Drosophila melanogaster: one gene and its partners. The protein of the gene in region 1 interacts with the protein of each later gene in a pairwise test. Each region holds a gene or a part of one and is shown in the gene's direction. Other genes may lie near its edges. The genes, in order: dve, CG9705, sr and bi.

Region 1 (4,883 bases):
GTGTGAGAGAGCTGCCGAGCAAGAGAGCGAGCGAGAGAGCAAGCGCCAAGAGGGAGAAAGGGAGAGCTTGCGCATTCAGGAACTGGATGAAAACTGAGGATATCGTGGGATAAACATATCCAGATCAAGGATTTTTATGTATTTTTATGTTTTGGTATATAGCAGTTATTTAATTTGTATAAATAATTATAGTTGTTTTTTAGAAACTATAAGAGAAAAAGAGGCAGTCTTTTTTCGGTTGAGTTTTCTGAAAACGGATATGAAATCCTGTACTAATTACCAAGCCCACTGTAACTCCACCCTATTTCCATCTTTTTCTCGGCGCAGTGTTTCTCCTACTAGTGCTGCTACATAGAAATCCTATTTACCATATACTTGGACGCGGTTGGCTAAATCCTGCAGCCCGGACACCTAATCACATGTAATGCGCGCGCATTATCTGCGCTCTTATCTCTTATTTTCCGGGGGCACCACCCATCCCGCCCCTCGGCGAAATCCACTTCGTGCCGTGAACTCACGAATCCTCAACGAAGGCCGTCGCCATTCACGGAGGTGCTAAATGCCGAGTGGGTGTAGCCCCCCGACCACCCACCGCCCATCGAGAGGAATAAGCAATGCCGATTTACTCTTTCATCCCGAATGCCCGAACCTATTGCCGCACTGCTCGCACCCGCACCGTCGTAGTTCACGCCCACGCCCACTCTACACGGTGTAGGGATATGTGGCTGTGTGTGTGCGGCATAATTCCACCCGAATTTGCAGCAAATCCATTCAGTTTCGCCACAGCGCACAAAAAATAAAAGAAAACGCGCAGCCGAATGAGCAAGTGTTTGTCGGGGGAGGGGGTTTTAGGCGGGTTGGGCGAAGGCTGCGGCGACGACAAGTGCAATTGTGCGCCGGAACAGGTTTACCCACTGTTCCTGTGTGTGTGTGAGAGAAAGTCGCTCTCTGCATAGCTACTCTCTTTTCTCTCTCTGTCCCTGTGCGTGTGCTTTGTTTTGGTCACTCACTGACGCACACACGCAGAGCTGTTTGTTTGCCTCGCTAACCAGAACGAAATTTCGCAGTATTTCTACTACGCTTTGGCATCATTTCAATATTTTAACAAGATGATACTGTGGGAAAGTGTTGGTAAGCAAAAATTCTTATCAGTTCTAAAGAAATTTACATTTTGAAGAAAATAACGTGACATATAAAGTAAATTTAGCTTTCTAAAATTTGGTGGTCTTTTTAACATTTTTTATTTTTAATTTACTAAGAAAAGCGCCACTTGTTCTTATTCTAAGCAAAGTGGGTTACTCTTATAACAAATATAAAATTTACAGCATTTATATTTTTCCTTTCGTTATATTTAATATAATAAATATATTGATTTTAATCTAATCCTTTTAATTAGAGCCCCATTCATAAGAGCTCAGCTAACTCATAGTTTTACTACCTTTTCAGAGCCTACTACTTTTTGTTACGTTCTCTCTCCCCACTCACACAAATACAAATACAAGTGGGAGAGCGCGGTCGTTGTCTCTTTGACTCACACACCAGTACACATGGACTGGCGGCAAATGGAGCCGCGTGAGAGGACCACGGTTGAAAGGGGGGTGGGTGCTGGCTGGGGGAGGGCGAGAACGAGACCGAAGACCGTCGGCCGAAAGAGACCGAATGCCAAACACCGAGCACCGGCACACCGGCGAATGTGCGAAGGCGAAGGAATGCCGTCAGTTGTGCGACAACTTTGGCCAAGAGAGGATGTCTTGACGCGCGTCCGCTTACTAACACCCTGCGATACCCTGCGAAGAGAGTCCAGAGAGCCAGATCAGTCAGTCAGGAGCAGGAGCCCAAGGATTCGGCACGCCATCTGCCGGAGAAACCAGACAGGCGGACAGCCAGACAGCCTGAACGCCTCAACCTCAACGGTTGGCTGGATTTGCGATTGTCGCATTCGCCAAATTCGATACGCTGCCAATCCTGGTGACGCAGTGACGCGATCAGCTCCCGATTTCATGGCACTAATGATGTCGCGTCGCCCCCAACAGCAACAACAACAGCAAGAAGAGCCCCTGGAGCAATTGGAAGTGCAGCATCTGGAACTAGAGTCATCGAATCCGTTCCACGAAGGAAACGCGCGTTTCACCTGAGCGTGTGTGCGGTTGCGCGCGTGTGTGTGCCTGTGTCTAATTTGCGTATCCGCGCTACTCAAATAAGAAATAAATAGAAAAATCACATCAAATTAAATCAAATCAAATCGAATCAAGAAATACACCTTCCCCCGATCGAATTCGAAATCGAGCTCCCCTTATCGCGGTGACAAATTGCAATCAAACAAAAATCACAGCGAACCATCCAAATTGCAATTAATGCCAAAGCGCCTGCATCTGGCCATAAATAAAATACGTGAACTGCAGACTCAGTGATTAGAACTTTGAATCGCCAGCGAGATGGACTTCCAGAGCGCCATGGAAACCTTTGCCGAAGCCTGGGTGGCAGCCAATGCCGGTCAGCAGGTGAGTTGAGCCTTCAAATTTGCAGAGATATCATCCGCATCACGAAGATTTCGTCATACGGAGAAATTTCATCATCGCACGGCGAGATCGCTTTGCCGGCGGCACTTCACACAGCCATTAGTCAGATACCCTGGCTATCCCCCACTTTTACAGCCCTCCCATTGCCAAATGAATCAGTTGAGTGCAAACAAAATCGGCCAAACGACATATGGCCAAGCTGTAGTGATAAGGGCCGTGTAGATATGCGCTCGTTTCGCTATTTATGCAGATTAAGATAATCCTTATCGGCTGAGATTTTCGAGATCGGTGCTGCGATAAGTCCGCCAGCACCCCGCACCCAACTGTTTACCTTTCCCCGTTCGGTGTGCCCACTAATTGCATTGTAAAGCCGATCCCCAAAGGGGAAAACTGGGAACTGGGGCTAAGTTCCGAGTTCTGGGTTCTCCGCCAGAGCTTTTGCCAGCCAGATAAGATAATCCCGACGGTAATTTTGTCAAACGCTGGTAAATTCGGCATAAGGCGATGACGAACTTAGATATCGAATGTGGCTAACGGGGTGGGGATACTGGCGGTGGGGAGCGTTAGCGCCCCCAGCTCATAGAGTGCATGTCGCGTCATCTCTGTGCGCGCCGCTCTTATTTTTATCAGAATCGAACGCCCCTGTCACTGATATCGCAATTAATCCAAATAAGTGCGATAAAATTGATTATGAACATGCTGGCGTGATTAGTCCAGCCCAACTCCCTCTCTGGAAAAAGTGGGGGATCACTCATACACATGTCCAGATATCTGGGTGTGTGCCTGCATGTGTGTGTGTGGTTTATTAGCAGACATAATTGATTATGTTGTGTGAGTGTAATTATTATTTATCTGGCTCTGCGGTATGACTTCTGCCTTTGGCGCTCAACCCATTGGAATCGGTTACCCAAACGCCGAAAACGGGGGGTGACTAATCCAAGAATTTATGAATTTTATTTCCAATCGGTTTCGAAAACATCTCTATGTTGTATATTTAAAAAATCCCAATCTCGCGAGGGACCCACCGTCATTGTCTTTAAGCCGAAATCATGCCACAAGAGTTATTGTACTGGCCAAATCTGTGATGGCTTCGAAAACAAACAGCTTAGAGTTATTTCGTATACCCTAGCCATTGGGAATACTTACATTTTTTTAAGAGATCGATTGAGATTACCATATTTGTAGAACCTAGCAGTGCTTCCAGCAATTTAAATAGGTCCACAGGGATTGTTTTTTGTTCTATGTACGTCCACGTGGCAATGGTAATTGCAAAATCTTTGCATGTTTCCGATAAATGTAACTTCCTCTAAGTTTGCTACGACGAATGTGATGATGCAATAGTTTTGAAAAATTTTATATCGATTAGATCAGAATCGATCTAGGCTAGAGCATTCGAAACTTCGGCTTTAGAACCATTCGTTTTCTTTTTTATTTTTTGACAGTTTTATGTGTCGACGCATATGCTTAGTGAATGGGATTAAGATAAGACGGCGTAAGTTGCTCGAGAGTCAGATAATAAACCAGAATGGTCAGAAGGGGCATAAATAAATGTGAATTCTTTCAAAACTATGGCAAATCATATTGTGCGAGTGTGAGTCGAATTTTTTGTTGGCCCGGCCAAACTAATTATAAAGCATTTAGCTTTATTGTTGTGATAATTTCATTTCGGGGTTTTTCTAAGGGCGTAATATCGAAATCGAACGCGGCCAACAGATAATGCCGTCTCTTCACACCCGGTTAGATCACCTGGCCGCCTTTTGAGCAGCCAGATAGGCCGTCTTATAAATTATAAATGGTTCGATTTTGTCTAATCTGAAAGTGTTAGTCGTTTGTGAATGGGGGATGGGCGGGGACAGCCTTAGGAGTCAGATAATGGAATATTTATTAATTGAAATCTTCTTCGCCGCTGCTTCCTGCTCACCGTGCTCGTGATCATCGAATAGTCGTTTCATTACCTCTGCCTCGTTTTCCCCAGCGATCTCTCGCACCAAGACTAATGGTAATCGGGGTTAATCCGGCCGCGCATCGAATCGCAGCTCCAATCAAATGCATTCTTCGCCCTTTCTTCTGGCCCTGCCCGTCTGCCCCTCTGTCGGCTTCCCCGTCTGCCTTCCCACGTTTTCGGTTTCGTTAAATTCCGGTAGTCAAATGTCCATTAAATGCCGCTCATAAATGTCCAAACTGTTTGTCATCTTTGTGGCCCTGTTGTTGTTGTTGTGGCCGCCGCCTCCTGACTTCTGGCTTTCTTTTCTTCCTTGGACTTGGGTCCACCACCACTACTACTACACCCTAGCACATCGTTCAATTCTTCTGGCGGCTTAGGCGTGCTCCTCTCCCCCCGCAGTTTCTCCTGATCTCTTTAGC
Region 2 (4,707 bases), on another chromosome or scaffold:
TCGGCTTGGAACTCGCAGAGAATGTTCTCGGGAAACCGCAAGTCGTAGATATAAACTCCACCTCGCAGATCTCCGCCGTATAGAAAGTGTTCGCGCTCGTTGCGATCCAGGGCGCAAGACCACAGCATCTTGTCATGAGCGGTGAACATAGACGAGCAAAGCCGTGTTCTTATGTCGAATATCTTGATCTTTAGTTCCCGACTGGCCACAGTGAGCAAGTGCTGTGAGTCACTAAAAGCAATGTCCCGGATTAGGAGTGCCGAGGTGTGCAGGAATTGCAGGGGCTTGAAGGTAGGTGGATCAATAAAGCGTACGCCGTAGCCGGGGAACAGGTTTTGGGCACTCTTTTGCGAGGCCACCAGCATGGAGTGCTTGGCGGAATAGAGCAATACACGGCAGCCGGGATCTCGAGTTATCTCGAAGTTCTTCTCCATGTACAATCGGTAGGTGGCTAGTTGTTGAATGCTCTTCTGGCCGGATGCATCGCCTCCGAAGGCTCCCCGACCACCACCTGCCCTCACCAGCTCCTTAAGCCGTTCGTAGTCCTTCTGCAGGAGAATCAGCTTCTCAGTGGTGAGTGTGTTAGCCAGCTTCGCGGTAGCCAGCTCTGTTGTTAGAGTATGTGTACGCCGCCGCTCCGCCTCCAGCTGCTCCCTAATATCCGTGTCCAGCATCTGAATGCGCTTCGCATACAGATGACGGATATCTCTAAATGTGGCCTTCGTCTTGCACTGCGGGCACACCTTCACAGAAGATTGGCGATGGCTTTCGTTTAACCACCGCCGAATGCAGCTTTCCCCAAAGAGGTGACCACATCGCAGCGAGACCAGTCGATGCTCGCCACTCATCTCCCAGGAATCCAGACAAATGGGACAGGTCATGCCATCGTCCTCGTCATCTACAACTATTGGTTTGCCCTCGGGCGACTTTTTAAGGCTTTTATCGGCAGCAGCGGAGAGACGTTTACGTTTCTTGGGCGGTGATGGCGTTTCTAATGAGATCACCTCCTGCTCTTCGCCTTGATTGCGGCGGGAATTTCTCGGGGGACTGGGCAAATGCGGAGGATCTACCAGAATTAAAGGCGGAACTCTCGGTTGCTCGGGTTCCGCGTTCTCACCAGGCTGGTCACGTTGTTCATCAATCTCAACCGCCGGCTGCAGACCTTCAACTGGATTGAGGATTACCTCATCATCACCAGAGCTATCATCTGTAGAGGTCTCATCGGCATAAACTTCCGGATCAAGAGCTTCGGTTTCATTCTCCATTCCTTGCAGCAGGATGTCTGAATTCCGCTTTCTCGCTTCAGACTGATCGCATTCCCTGCTGCCCGATGAGTATATTTCCGGATCCACGGCGCTGTCGCCTTTTGCGAAACCTTCGCTGTCCGTTTCACCTATATATGGTCTCAATCAAGTTTTCCTCTTGGAAAACATGAAAGTTCTTGTTATTATTTTATCTATTTCGCGACTTTCCTGCAATAGGACGCTAAATTTCAAGCTAGGGATGGTCAAGATCGAGATGCTTTAGTGATGGAACAACGGGGTGAAACTATCGAGTACTACATGTAAATAAATATATTTAAATATTCATTGTTAGTGTGGACAACATATTAGTCTGAACACATTTTTTTCGTATATCAAGCATATAAAAAAAGAATCTATATAAGAGTTGAGTGTTTGTGCGGAAAATGCAATTTTTTAATTGTTTAAAATAATTATAAATGCTTTCAATTAAATTTTCACATCTATTTATTCTACCAACAAGTTGGAGTAACTTGTAATTAATCCTGTTTGTTCGTTAAATTTGATTTTCAAATTTTATTCATGTTGCTATAAACATCGATTGCCAATTAGGCTAAGCGATAGGTTTTGGGATTTCTGGAACATTCCAAAACGTTCACTCTGAGGTCTGACTTTGACGCCTCCGCCGCCATTCGTTAAAAAACTGAAATTCTTAAAAAGCGCGCATCAAGCCGGTGTAATAATTGATAAAAAAGTTTAAAAAAATCCCAGATTCCAAAGTTGATAAAAGTCATACCGCGCAGGACTGATTTAGGGGGTACAAATAACATTGGCAACCGGCGTTTCGCACAGCGGTAAAATTTGCATCAGTGTGTGGGTGTTTCGCAAAAAAAAAAGAAGCTAAGCCAGGATTTTTGGATTGCCAATTATCAAGGTGCTAGGAAAGAGGGCGTGAAGTTGTCGGTAAGCTGACCGAGTACACGTGAATTAAGTGCAACGCAATTTGCTGACTGACTAACCCGCCCCCCGTGGCCTTGAACTCGACAGACTTGGCTGCCGTCCACTCACCCACAAACACACATACGCACATATATACACACGCGCAAGCCGCTTCTACTGTCTGAAGAGAGGAGAGGAAAAGAGCGAAGAAAGGGGAAGAACGCATAAATCGGCAAGTAAACGAGCAGTGTAAGAAAGCCATGACCGAACCAAGGACGCCCGAGAAGCTGCTGGCCGCCAAGCCGCCGGTTTTACACCACAACAGCCATAGTCCCAATGCCTCGCTGCAGCTGCCCAGTCCCATCATCACGAGGCGCACTCGCACGGCCTCGACGTAAGTCCTCCTGCACTGCCCTGCCCACCCAACCAGCAAAACCACCCACCCACTACTGGCCCCACACACACTTGACCCCAAGGGGAACTTGGCCCCTATGCAGAGCCTTTATGGGGCCAAATAGGCGCCGAAAGTTCACATTATTTCACAAGGTTCGCTCTTTTGTATGAAAACCAAATACAACCTTTTGAAATAGTAAAAGAATAGCATGGAAGCTTGTAATTTCTAAAGCAAAAGCTTTCTATAATGTTTTAAACTGCATTTGTTGAATTAGATGAGCAAACATAATGAAACAAACAGTAATTAGTAATCGAACATGGAACACTTTATTGGTTCCACATTTACATTTAATATATTTATTTTTATGTGTATATACTTATAAATATTTTTATAACCGTAAGGACCATTTTTTTTGAAAGTTTAAATTTGTAAACCCCATACTTTTTCAATTATTTCATTGTACATACATACATACATTCAGAAATCAGTCGCTGCCGAATTTATAAGCTCTCGGAACCCTTTCGAACATAATCCACGTACTTAAATTCTTCCCCCTCATATCCCCATGCGCATCCTCCATTGATTAACTTGTCTCTTCCTGCTTAATTCTTTTCCCAAACGCTGCCAAAACGCAAACACGCGCAAACTCAAAATAACGCTGAAAAAACATAGCTCCGCTCGGGCCTTGGAAAATCCGGTTGTGACCGGTATGGTGAAATCCTTCAGCCGCACCAAAGGACACGGCTTCATTACACCCAACGCCGGCGGAGAGGACGTTTTTTGCCACGTTTCCGAGTAAGTGAATGAATATTGCATGCGCGGCGACCTTTGCGCTGGCTCTGTAAGACCTACAAAAATGTAATCTTCCCACAGCATCGAAGGTGAATATGTGCCCATGCCCGGGGACGAGGTCAAATACCGTCTGTGCGCCATTCCGCCCAAGTATGAGAAGCACCAGGCCGTGCACGTGCAGATTAGCCACCTGACGCCGGAGGTGCACCACAAGTGGGAGGAGCCATTCTATGGTGGCTCCTCGCCCGCTAAGTAAAGCTGAAGCTTGTGGCCCTGGGAGATTTCGAAGCTCGGAAGCGGAAAAGTGTGTTGTTAAAAGCTGAACGGCCTTCCAAGAAATTTAATTGAGCTAGAGCACGCCACCCGAGATGAACGAAACGGAAAACCGGAACAGAACAATAACCATGAAAGTAAACGAAAGCACAGCAATCGAAGCAGCCAGGAAAAAGCCGAAACCAGACCAGAACGTAATAGAATGGAACAACAGGCCTGCCATCCAGCCAGCCAGCGAGCAGCATCACAAGAGTTTCAATTGAACACTTAATTAGAATTTAAGCTAAGCTATGGAAGTCAAACAAAACGCAGTCACAAATATTGCCTTTCCCTCTGGAAGAGGGGAGAGCAACCGCAACCAGTTTCGAGTATATTATTAAAAGCGCGTATGTATTTGGAAATTGAAATTGTTATTCGAGAAGCCACTAGCACAGCGCCTGCGATGCTGTGGTGCCCTGTATCAGTAATTACTTTTAATTATAACAAAACATCTGAATGTGTTCGCGAAGCAAACAAGCAAAATGCTCTCAGTAATTCACTTTATTATTAAAACAGCTGCAAAACAATTCCATCGGTGATTTTTCTGGAGTGGCGTGGGAGTTATCAGCATGGAGTGTGTATTGTACGCACAATTGCGGTCAGCATAATAGCCGCTTGCTTGTATGTGTTCTAATAAAATTTTATGCAAAATTATTAATCTTACGTTTTTATTACGGCATCTAAATGTTCATTTTAGATATTAGCTAATGTCTGATTGTAATATCACGATATTCATAACATGGCAAAATATTGTTTTAGCCGCAGCTGTAACTTGTATTTAATTTAGTGGTGTATCTTATCTGCAGTGAAAGCAGATACTTTTTGCAGCCCAAAGCATACATGAATTTTTGGCTCACTATTGAAAATATATTTCCTGCGTTCTGCAGAAAATCGAAACCGTAACATATTCAATAAAAAAAAACCAACCTTTTTGCCACAATAGATACCTAAAGATTTCCGCCCGCTAAATTTATCAAGTAGAGCCATAAATAGCCAAACCAACTCATACTCCTAAAATTATGGATTTCC
Region 3 (5,253 bases), on another chromosome or scaffold:
GTGAAGGACCTAACATGGTCAATCAAGCGCCAAAATGATTGGAATTGCAAACGTTTTCAATAATATAATTATCAAATTAAGGTGATGGAAAGTTGTTAGCTGGATTTTAATTACTAATATTTCATCATTTTCAAACAGAATGCAGTTCAAAACGTACGAGCACTTCACGTATTATTATTCATAGATTATTCATAGTTGTAGTTTGTCGGAATACAACGTGGTGTATCTTGTATCTTAGATTTTGTATCTTAATATTGGGTTTTTGGGCCATACTATTGTCTCTAGTGCCATTTCTCAAATTTATTTTCCTAACAAAGTATAAGCCTTATAAGGTGGCGAGCTAATTGTGCTGGCCTTTGTTATTACTATTGCATGTGTCACATTCTGAATGAGCAATTACAGTTAATAAGAGTACAAATGTCAAATGTCCGATGTGGGCGATTCGGCTAAGTATAATTAATTTGACTTGGGACTTGGGTTTCGCTCAGTGTAAGACACTTGAACTAATTGACAAGTTTCCATATATAAGCATTTTGTGAATGAATGAATTCGAGTTTTCAGTTGTGAAGGGGGGGGGGGGGGTAAAATATGAATATGATTAGAAGCCAAAGTGCGAGTGTGTGTGTGTGTGTGTCTGTGTAAGGTGAGCTTGGTGGGCGTTTTTAACTCGGCTCTCCGTCTCTTTCTAGCCGCGTTTCGCTGTCTCTTTTCGAGTTTTCATTCACAATCTAATGCCGGGCTTGATCCACACCCACATTATTTAAAGTGGAGCAGTGCACAGAGGGGCTCTGTCCTTGTCTCTTTCTCTTCCAGTAGCTCCATCTCTTTCCGCTTCCTTTCTCCACCTGCACCCTTTCTATCGCTCTGTCTCTTTCTGCGAGCACAGCTGCAGTATTTTGCAATTCAATTTGCAGTCAGCTGAAAGAGCGAGAGGTAAAAGTATGAATTTATCAATGAAACCACCCACGTGACCCCTTTGTATATACACATGTGTGTGTGTGTGTATGTGTGTTTGGCGTTTTTTTTGTGTGTGGGTGTGCGTTTCTGTGGGTGCTGTTGCCTCTAAAGCTTTTTTCTAAGGGGGCCCAAGCTTTTTTCAGCCAATTAGCTTTCGTTGGTGTTATTTTTAGCTGACTAGCTTTCCAGCAAAAGCTTTCAGGATTGATAGACGAATTTGGATTTCGATTCCAGGAAAACCCTTAAAGTTTACTGCATCCGTAAAAATCCTGGCTAAAATATGTATGTACATATGTATGTCTGTTTGCACAAGTGCATTGAATGACGCAGATTCTACAAGTATCCCTATGAAAGGGTTTTGCACACGTGGAGGGGGTTTTGATTCTACTAAGAGGGTTGCGATCAAGAGTGTTGGCTAAATGTGTGGGCTTTTAGACCGAGGAAAGCCCACACAACCACTCGTAGAACTTGGCACGTTCCGGTGCACTGAAAACAATTTAAGATGACTTAAATGAAGATTATTGATAAATAAATAATTCCTATTTACAAAACACTTCTTCTAATGTCAATGAAAATATTACATATATTGGTTTACTAACAGCTGAAGAGGATTTAGAAATACCAATTATTTAGTTTAACTAAGATGAAGGCACGCAGGACATTTTTGACACTCACACTTCTTTTCAGTGTAGGAAAACGGCTTAAGAGTAATCCAAAGGTGTTACAGCCTTATGCTAGGCGATAGAAGCTCAGCGAGAGAGAAAAGCACTTTGAGGCGTTGCGGGGGTTGTGTGTGTGGTTTGTGGTGTTTGTTGTTTGTTGTTCGTTGTTCGTTGCCCCACCGGCAATCCCCCGGTCATGAGTGCGACGAGGACGGCTAGCTTAGCCCGTCCGCATGTACAGTTGTGCCCACACACGGCAGCAAGAACAACAACAACAACACTCAGACGAGGCATCTCAACTGGGCGACAGATCTCTAAGTAAGGCGATGATCAGCCCACGACTGCCACACACTCACACACTGCCATCGCAAACGGATACAGATACAAAGCCACGTACAGGTACAGATACAGTGAAACCGAGGCAAAACAGTCAAGGCAGCGCTGCAAAGCGAAGCAAACCGTATTTTTTAATACCGCCGACAGTCGGACGACGGATTGAATCGCAAAAAAAAAACGCATCGCAACCGGAAGGAAATTATCGTCTAATAAGTTGAGCACAATAAATTCGAGAATAAAAAAAAGAGCAGGGGATCTTATAGCCCCGATTTACGCGCCCTGTGCATGAGATCGTTAAGCGAATTAAGCCGAAAGATAGCCCGTAGCCCAATATCTCGACTAGCCCATCAAATTGCGTGTTTCAAATCAAAATTGCATAATCTGCACCGAAGAAGCCGGGAACTAGTTGCCAACTCTTCGCTAGCCAACGAGATCGCGATTACAGCCGGTGGATATCTTTCGCGTAATCGCAGTAGCTACGTCGCTTCCTTTGACTTGGCCACGTTCTATACAGCTGCGCATCTTATCTTATGCTTGGCCATCTGAAGTTTCAGAGTCGCAGTTGGCAGTAGTTGTTGCAGTTGCAATCGCGGTTGCGGTTTATAGTGAGTCGCGCGTGCGTTCGCCTTTTTGGCCCGCCTCGTAATTAATTACAAACGCAGTCGCGCGATCCGCAATCCGCGCGACTGTTGGACTACAGATGAAAATCCCAACGATCCTGCCTATTTACGCGCCCAAATCTTGATGCCCTAGCCAGACCAGCTTTCTGGGCGCTTGCGTGCTCTGTTGTCGCCGACTTGCCTCCGAATCGACGACATCTGATTGCCTTTTTATAGCTGGTAAGTAGTAGTAGTAGTAGACCCTGCCTATATTGCCCAGCCATCCACCATCGACATCTGAACAAGTATATTAATGGTTACAGCGGGAAAGGGGTGATTGTCGGTTTGGTTATGGCCTCTAATGGCCTTTAATTGGGGCGAAAGCCAAATATAAGGCTTTATTACATATATATGATGGGGAAAATTGAAGCGGGGCCGAATTTATTACGGTCATGTTACATTAGTTTTAATTTATTAATAAATTGTACGAATATTGCCCGAAAACATATATTCGTAAATCCAAATTATTTTATTGGATGATTTCTTAAAATAATTCAATAAAGGTAATTAACATAAAATATTTTGTGATTTTCATAAATTCCTATTTCACAAAACCATAAAGGTTTTTAGCCATTAGCTAAACCAGATTTGTTTTCTATTTAATTATTAAATATAAAAATTCATTCAATATTTGTAGTCTCATTGAAAAACCTTACATTTTTAATGATGAATGAGATGGAAAAGATTACACATCTTCGAAATTTCTGTACAAACCGAATCGAATGAGATCATTTTGCATAAAATTATTTACACATTCCTTAATATTTAGGAGCTGTTTTTGCCAAATACCATTTGCAGATAGACTCCATTTGCATTTCGAAAGAAACCTGGTTTTTTTATGAAGCCGTCGAATGTTCGAGAAGTCAATTGAATTTCGTGGTTTACCTCCATTCAATATGAATGGAAATAATAACTAAAATTAAAACTAATAAAAATATACAAAGATAAGGCTTAATATAATGATTTATGAAACTTTTACAACATATTGGTTGTTTTAAGTATACTTTTGTTGGCCTCTTGTTTATCTTTTTTAATGGAAAACTCAAAGAACAGCCTTGCAACAACTTCTTTTTGGCTCAAACACAAGCTATTTGACTGAATGACGAATTGCTGGTTATGGCCTAAAATATGAAGGACGTTAGTATGCGTAGCCCACGCGATACATATGTATTTGCACTCCTGCAGAGCGACACGTGCGTAAAACAAATCAATTAGCGCTGCCACATGAAAAGGTTAAAAGTCACGTACACGTGTTCCGTGTGCGAATGTGCGAGGGGCACAGCGCGGGGAATGCTGCTCATATGTATAAGGTCAACCGGCAATTGGTAGCCGCAAATTTTCTGCAACAAGTTGAAATTGCCTGGCTAATTAAACACGCAGGTGTAACGAATCCAGCCAAAGCTTCCGGCCAAATAATGCGGTTTAAATGGAGTCAGGAGCAGCTGACATTTGAAGCGACTCCCCCACAAAGGGGCAGAGAAACGGAAGGCAGGACCTTCTCCTGTGAATACCGAAATATCAAAGTTCAACCGGATAACAGGGCGAGCTTCTTTGGGTTCAGCTGCTCTATTCGCTTAGCGGAAAATCAGGAAAATTTATGAATGAACTTCTAGTTGAGCGGACACATCAACGGGAGCTTTTTTCATTGATAAGCTCAATTCAGTTTTTCGCTTTCCATTCCATTCATATATTTATCCGAATGTGACCGGCAACCTTTGGTCTGCCATCGATTGGCGGGCGGTGGGTTGGCCAAAGAGCAACAGGAGCCTCCAGCCGCAGGACATCCCACACACGTGGCAGACGTTTCGGGAAAAGGGCAAGGCACCAGCATCCTGTATCCATTCTCCCGAGACTCTTCTCGAGTGGAAAATGCTAGTAGCTTCTGGCTTCCTTCTGCACAGTGGTTCAAATCAGTCTTCAAATGTGTACAAAAGCTTTGGGTACCTATCAGCTATTAACTATTTCAAATCGTGTAATATAGTGTATATAATATAATAAATAGGGTTTATAGTGTAATTGTTTTAACTTTTCAATTTAGTAAATATTTATGACCACACTGCGTATGATTAATATAAAGCAATTGATTAATTTCTCACATTATAATATTTTGAATAATAGAAAGTATTCACAACTTTGCCTTACACATTAACATTTAGAGATTTTCTTTTTTCCCGAATACATTTATTCTAACAGTATTCATGGGCAGTATTAGCCCACTGTGCCGTATCTGCCATTTAGCTGTGCCCCTGCCCTTAACTTCATCCTCATCTTCTAGTCAATAATATCTGACAGTGTGGGCGTTTAATCGCATCTATTAGCATCCCAGTCGAGCATTTTCTTACACGCCCACGCTGGAAATTATTTCCACTAGGAAAAGTGAAGTAGAAGTGGAGCACATTTGGCGAAATGAAGGCAGGCAATCAACAGGTCCAGCTTGGATAACCTTATTGTTCTCGTTTTCCCAGCCAACGAAAATGTCCCTTCGGTTTTTCCACCTTCCAGGAAGCGCTGTCCCCTCGTTATTATTATTATTAATATTATTATTTTTATTATTGCTCATTTGTTTCAGCGCTAGAGTAATGGAGCAGAACAGCACAGGATGGGACTTCCATTCCACTTGTGTAGCTGCCTTTTGATTG
Region 4 (5,245 bases), on another chromosome or scaffold:
CATTATCAACAATTGCACATTGCGCCATATTTTACAGTTGATTCTCATCGGCCATGGCAGATGCATTCAGGAACTTCTTACATGTTATTTTTGATGTTCTGGGCATTCGGAAATGGTTTGGCAGAGAAACGAAATGTACCCTCGTTTTTTAATTGCTACACATTTATTTTATAATTATTTTAAATTTAAAATTTTTAAGATTAGTGATCTGGAATTATCAAAAATTCAATATTTGAAGCACAAATTATCCAAAGAAATAACTGACGTATTAATCATTTATTTGTTTTGAATTCAATATTTATCTGAGTTCCTACATTGCGAGCTGTAATTTCATAATCACAGCAATATCTTTTCAACATTTTTCTTTTTTTTTAAAGAAATTTTATTTTTCAAAGTTCTGTGCTTCTATTATTTCTCCAAATTTTAGCTCCCTTTTCCGAATTTGAGCCTAAAATTTCGCGCCAAAAAACCGAATAAAGCCATATAGGTGAAGTGGAAACTGAGAAATAAGGGACACGAGAAGGCACGGAGACGGAAAAGGACATTTTTGCCTGTGTGACAAAATCGCTGACTACGTGTGTGTGCGTGTTTTCCTTCTCGCCATGTAACGCTATCTCGCTTCTACACGCACACACATGAACACAAGCCCGAGACTCCGCCCACTAAGCGATCGCGATGAGATGAGAAAAAAACTCACCACAGTCCGGTAAAAAACGCTCAACTCACTCACTCAGTCATACACACACACACACACATTCACTCGCTCTCCCACTCTTTCTCACCGAGAATGCGCATTCCCTCTGGCACTTGCCTTCTCGTTCTTGCGCACATGAAACTGTGTAAAATGGTCGCCTTGCAGGGGGCGTTGCTTTATGGCCGTCTTTTTCGCACCCATGCGAAAGTGCCGCAGTGTGAGCGAGAGGGAATGCGTTTGTGGATGGAGGTTTTGAAAGCAAGAGTAGAGAAGATGCGACGTTGTAAACGAATTTGCATATTTCTACTGCTTTACGCTTATTGCATATTTTATTCATTACGTTCTGGCGCTTCGGCGGATGAAAACCCAAGAAAAGGCGAAAAGCGAAGGAAAGTGTCATATGGCATTCCGACTACCGTTAGCTCTGCGTGACATCGGTCCTCCCTTTCGCACGCACAATCTTCATCCTTCTTTTTGCTTCTTGTTGAGCTTCTTCCTTTTTTAAGCTTTATAATTTATAAATTCGTTAATATATAAAAAAAAAGTTGCTTAAAATTCTAAATTCTCAGTTCAAGATATAAAAAATTCAACAATTATTCCTACGAAAATCCTTTTAAATAATTTCTTATAAGCTGTTAGCTCAATCTGAATACAGTCCCAACTATCTCTGGTTTTGTATATTTTTTCTGTAACTTAGAATTAATATTTAGTGTTTTTTTTAAAGCTGAGCTTTTTGTTTTTACTTTCATTTGATTACCAAGTATTTCCAACCCAAATATATACATATATATATGGTATATATATTACTTAACTAATAGCTACAATCATATTTACGTCTTAAAAGGATTCTTAGCTGTTTTAATATCTTAAAGCTGTTTCCAGATTTCATATACTTAAGGTCATAACAATGCCAACATCCTAGTTTGTTTTTTATTTGGCTCCTTTTACCCGAAATTGGTTCCACGTATTTCTGCAAATTTGTTTATTTTCGCTTGGCAGCGACTTAATCTGTGCTCCAGTTTTTCGTAGTATCCCCCCCCAAAAAAAATGGACACCATACACACACACATTTAACGGTTAAGCCGTTGTCCTTTTTTCCCAAGAAGTCAAAGGATGCGATTCGAATGTGCGTGAGTTATCCGGCGTGTTGTTATCCTGGCTCGGACCAAATAGGATACAAAAAAAACCTAGCATAAACCGGTTCTGAGTAAGTGCTCAATTACTCACACACACACACACACACATGCAAAGAAGTGCTCACTCAAAACGAAGCGAAACGAGGCGAATTCGTGCCTCTGCCTCTGCCGACGTCGACTGTGCTGCCGTGGTGGGTTTTGTGAAGCAAAGCGTCGAGCAGAGTGGCGAATAGCGTCATTCAAAATTGGAATTCTGTTAGTAAACGTCGACACTTCATATGAAACGAAGAGCGGAGATCACAGCGGAAAATCCAGGGGTGTACGTGGGTTTAAAACGCACAGAGGGATTTCACTCAAAGAAAGAAAGAATACGTTTATACTTATATAGGGTTAGACCAGGAGGGTAGGCTACGTATAAAGACAAGAAGAAGGAAAGCAAAGAAAGAATGGCCTCGCCAAGTAAAGCTGAGAGCATAGAGTGTAGGGATTACACAGAAGGGCTTTAAAAAGAAAATATGTAACCCACAAAATAGCAACTACAAGACTACCCACGACTTGGGTGTCAAAATGCTTGTCATTCGACAGCACGGCGAGGGGGAAAACCTATGCTAAGCTGGCCTTAGCTTTTTTGCCCGCGTGTGGTGAACATAACACGGGCCAACCCACCTCCCCCCACGCGATGGGGATTCCCCACTTTCGCATTCTGCCGGCGTCGCTGCGAACGTCGCTGCCGGCTTCTTGCACTTTGGCGCTCGGCGTCGTCTTGGCCCGGTTATTTGTTGTTTTTTTTTTTTTTTTCGTTTTTCGGGCTTTTCGGCTTTTTGGATCGTTCTCGGCCAGCAGTCGCCGCCTGTCACACGCTCACGTCAAACGCTTTTGCCGTCGCGTCGTCAGATAAACCAAATGTCTCGCCGTGTTTACGTGTGATTCCCCTTTTTTGCTTCAATCCGAAGGCAAAATAAATACACTGACCTTAACCGATACGGCTCACCGTTTAACCGCTAACCGTTAACCGTTTCGTGGCCGTCGACGATAAGGAATCAAGAAACAACATCACCCTGCAGATTCTGTTTTGTTTTGTTTTTTTGTGCAGTCCAGAATTTTTTGAAAACCTGACAAGATTAAAGAAAATTGTGTTTGAAAAGTGCGTAAAGTGTGGAGTATTTAAACTTAAAAAAAAAAACATATATAAAAATCAAACAACAGCAAGGTGGGAGGTCCAAAGAATATAAATAAAAAACACACTGGTTTCCGCCTGAGATTTTCAAAATACCGTTTCAGATCATGAAAACATAATGGTATACAAATATATTATGTTTATGCTGCCCTTGGAAATAAATAGTATACTATCAAAAAAATCTACTCCTTGGTTTTTCCCTACTTGAGAAATGAGAAATTTACAAACATTAAATGTAGAACTACTGATAATTACTTTCAATATTTTGGTGATCCAATGAGTTAATAGGAAAGTCCTTAAACAAAGCGTGGTGGAACTCCTTCCCATTATGATAATCACATCGCATAACACCAGGGAGATTGTCTAGATTGATTGATCCAACCCCCAGGAGATTCCCCATCCCGATCTGCTCAAGCGCAACGAAATCGGAACCATTATCCAATTAGCTAACTCTTTCCGAACCCGTATCATCAGTTTATCGCCTCGTCAATTGTTTTCTCATACTTTTTTCGCTACTTAACTGATGTGACAATTTGTAGCCATTAGCCGGAGGCAGTCAGTCAAACAGTCGCTAGATTTGCAAGTTGTTCAGGCATGACAAAACAAAAAAGAAAAAAAAAAAAAAACTATATATATGCAATGTATGGCGATGGATAAGGGGGGGGGGGAGAGTTGGGGAGCGGGGTTCCGGAGACGAGATCACGATCGCATCTCGACACGCAGCTAAAAGTGTAAATCAGCTCGCCTTCCATTATGTCAACAATCTCTTTGTCTGTCCGTATTATTTACATTTGTCAAATCAAATTTGACAGCTGCGGAAAACATAATATCTCAAGTCGGCGTCTGCGGCACAGTCCGGTTTTTTGTATGGGGCCTTATTCAATAGGGAGGGGATCAAGGGGATTCGCGGAGGAGATCGTAGCCGCCTAGGACCACCGATACAAACTTGTATTCAGAACTGGATTTGTCGCTTCGCTCTGTTGTGCCAAACGAACTGAGCCATGAACACAAGAATGAATACTTGGCCAAGCACTCGATCAATCTGGTCTCACACAAAGTTCTTTCACTTGAAGATGTACAAAAATAATTAGACATTTTTCTATTTATCTATTGTTATACGGAAAAGGATTTAAAACGTGCAAACATTTTGACTACTTGTTCTAATTTCGAAATACTAAGCCTGAAAATCAAGGATATTTATAAATCTAATATTCCAAGCCACTGGCTATTATCATTCGCGTTTACAGAGCAATGTTTTGTAGGAAAGGATTTTCCCCAGCACCAAAATAATTTTCTCTTTCGAGTAGTTTATTGCACTGCTTATTAGCGATTAGTGACTTTTATGACTGTTTAGAAACGTAGTACTCAACCCTTTTCGAAAGTAGGTAACAACCCTTAACCATTTGTATTACATATTAGAGAATGTTTTCTTCTTGTTTCCGAGGGAACATGCATTTTCTTTTTGATCCTCATTTAGTAGGGATTACATTATTACACAGTTGGAAATATATATTGTCTTGATCGAATTACGGAATTAAGTGTTATATATACCTAAAATAGTTCCAAAATACCACAACACATAATACCTATATCTTTTGCTGACTTCACCAATTAATTGGTGAGGTTTCCAGTCGGGGTTGTTCGTTGGTAAGCTGCTAACGGACTTATGACATGGATATGGCTATGATTCGGGAATCACGATTCAGTATTCCGTATTCCGTATTCGGTGGGGTATGTACTGTGTACTCTGCTACTATAAAATGCCAGCTCCATTGTTGTTGCTACAACCGGCGGAAGAAAACGGAAGAGGGGATTGTATTTTTTGGATTTCGGGAATTGGGAATGGCCTGGATGCGGCACTTATCCTTGTTTTTTTTTTTTTTTTGGGGTTGAAGGCAACAAACACACTGCACACTTAACCGATAAATACGCACCACATCTATATTATATGTGTGTGTACATACTCGTATATGGATGCGTGTACGTTTGTACATCCGATGGACAGATCCTTTGTATCCTGCTATCCTGGCTCTATCTATTGACTGACTAACACGCCAGCTGACTTGGCAGGGGAGGAAGAAGCCAAGCGCTGGGGAAGTAGAACCTGGTCCTGCTGTCTCGTGCAAAGCTGACTGACATCCAGCAACTTCCTTTGGCCTCAGACTTCAGCAGCACTCACGCAATTTTCCTCCACACAAAAACCCCCACCTAGCTGATGATGGCTTGCCGGGGGTGGTT

What was found.
Region 2: the proteins of dve (region 1) and CG9705 interact in a two-hybrid assay, tested with the Drosophila melanogaster proteins (one large-scale study listed by BioGRID).
Region 3: the proteins of dve (region 1) and sr interact in a two-hybrid assay, tested with the Drosophila melanogaster proteins (one large-scale study listed by BioGRID).
Region 4: the proteins of dve (region 1) and bi interact in a two-hybrid assay, tested with the Drosophila melanogaster proteins (one large-scale study listed by BioGRID).

Annotation. Positions count from the first base shown.
Region 1 is NT_033778.4:22,242,247-22,247,129, forward strand, and holds the start of dve (defective proventriculus), read left to right. Parts: upstream 1-1,716; 5' UTR 1,717-2,435; coding exon 2,436-2,501; intron 2,502-4,883.
Region 2 is NT_037436.4:16,778,217-16,782,923, forward strand, and holds CG9705 (uncharacterized protein), read left to right. Parts: upstream 1-1,883; 5' UTR 1,884-2,204; exon of another isoform or gene 2,205-2,288; 5' UTR 2,289-2,440; coding exon 2,441-2,574; intron 2,575-3,246; coding exon 3,247-3,369; intron 3,370-3,447; coding exon 3,448-3,622; 3' UTR 3,623-4,203; downstream 4,204-4,707. Other genes in the region: mus302 (mutagen-sensitive 302), read right to left, coding at 1-1,265.
Region 3 is NT_033777.3:18,088,661-18,093,913, forward strand, and holds the start of sr (stripe), read left to right. Parts: upstream 1-2,142; 5' UTR 2,143-2,794; intron 2,795-5,253.
Region 4 is NC_004354.4:4,410,772-4,416,016, forward strand, and holds the start of bi (bifid), read left to right. Parts: upstream 1-2,084; 5' UTR 2,085-2,149; intron 2,150-2,690; exon of another isoform or gene 2,691-3,128; intron 3,129-5,245. UniProt on the Drosophila melanogaster protein: Essential protein that may function as a transcription regulator. Vital for pupal development. Required for proper development of the optic lobes and wings, and abdominal pigmentation.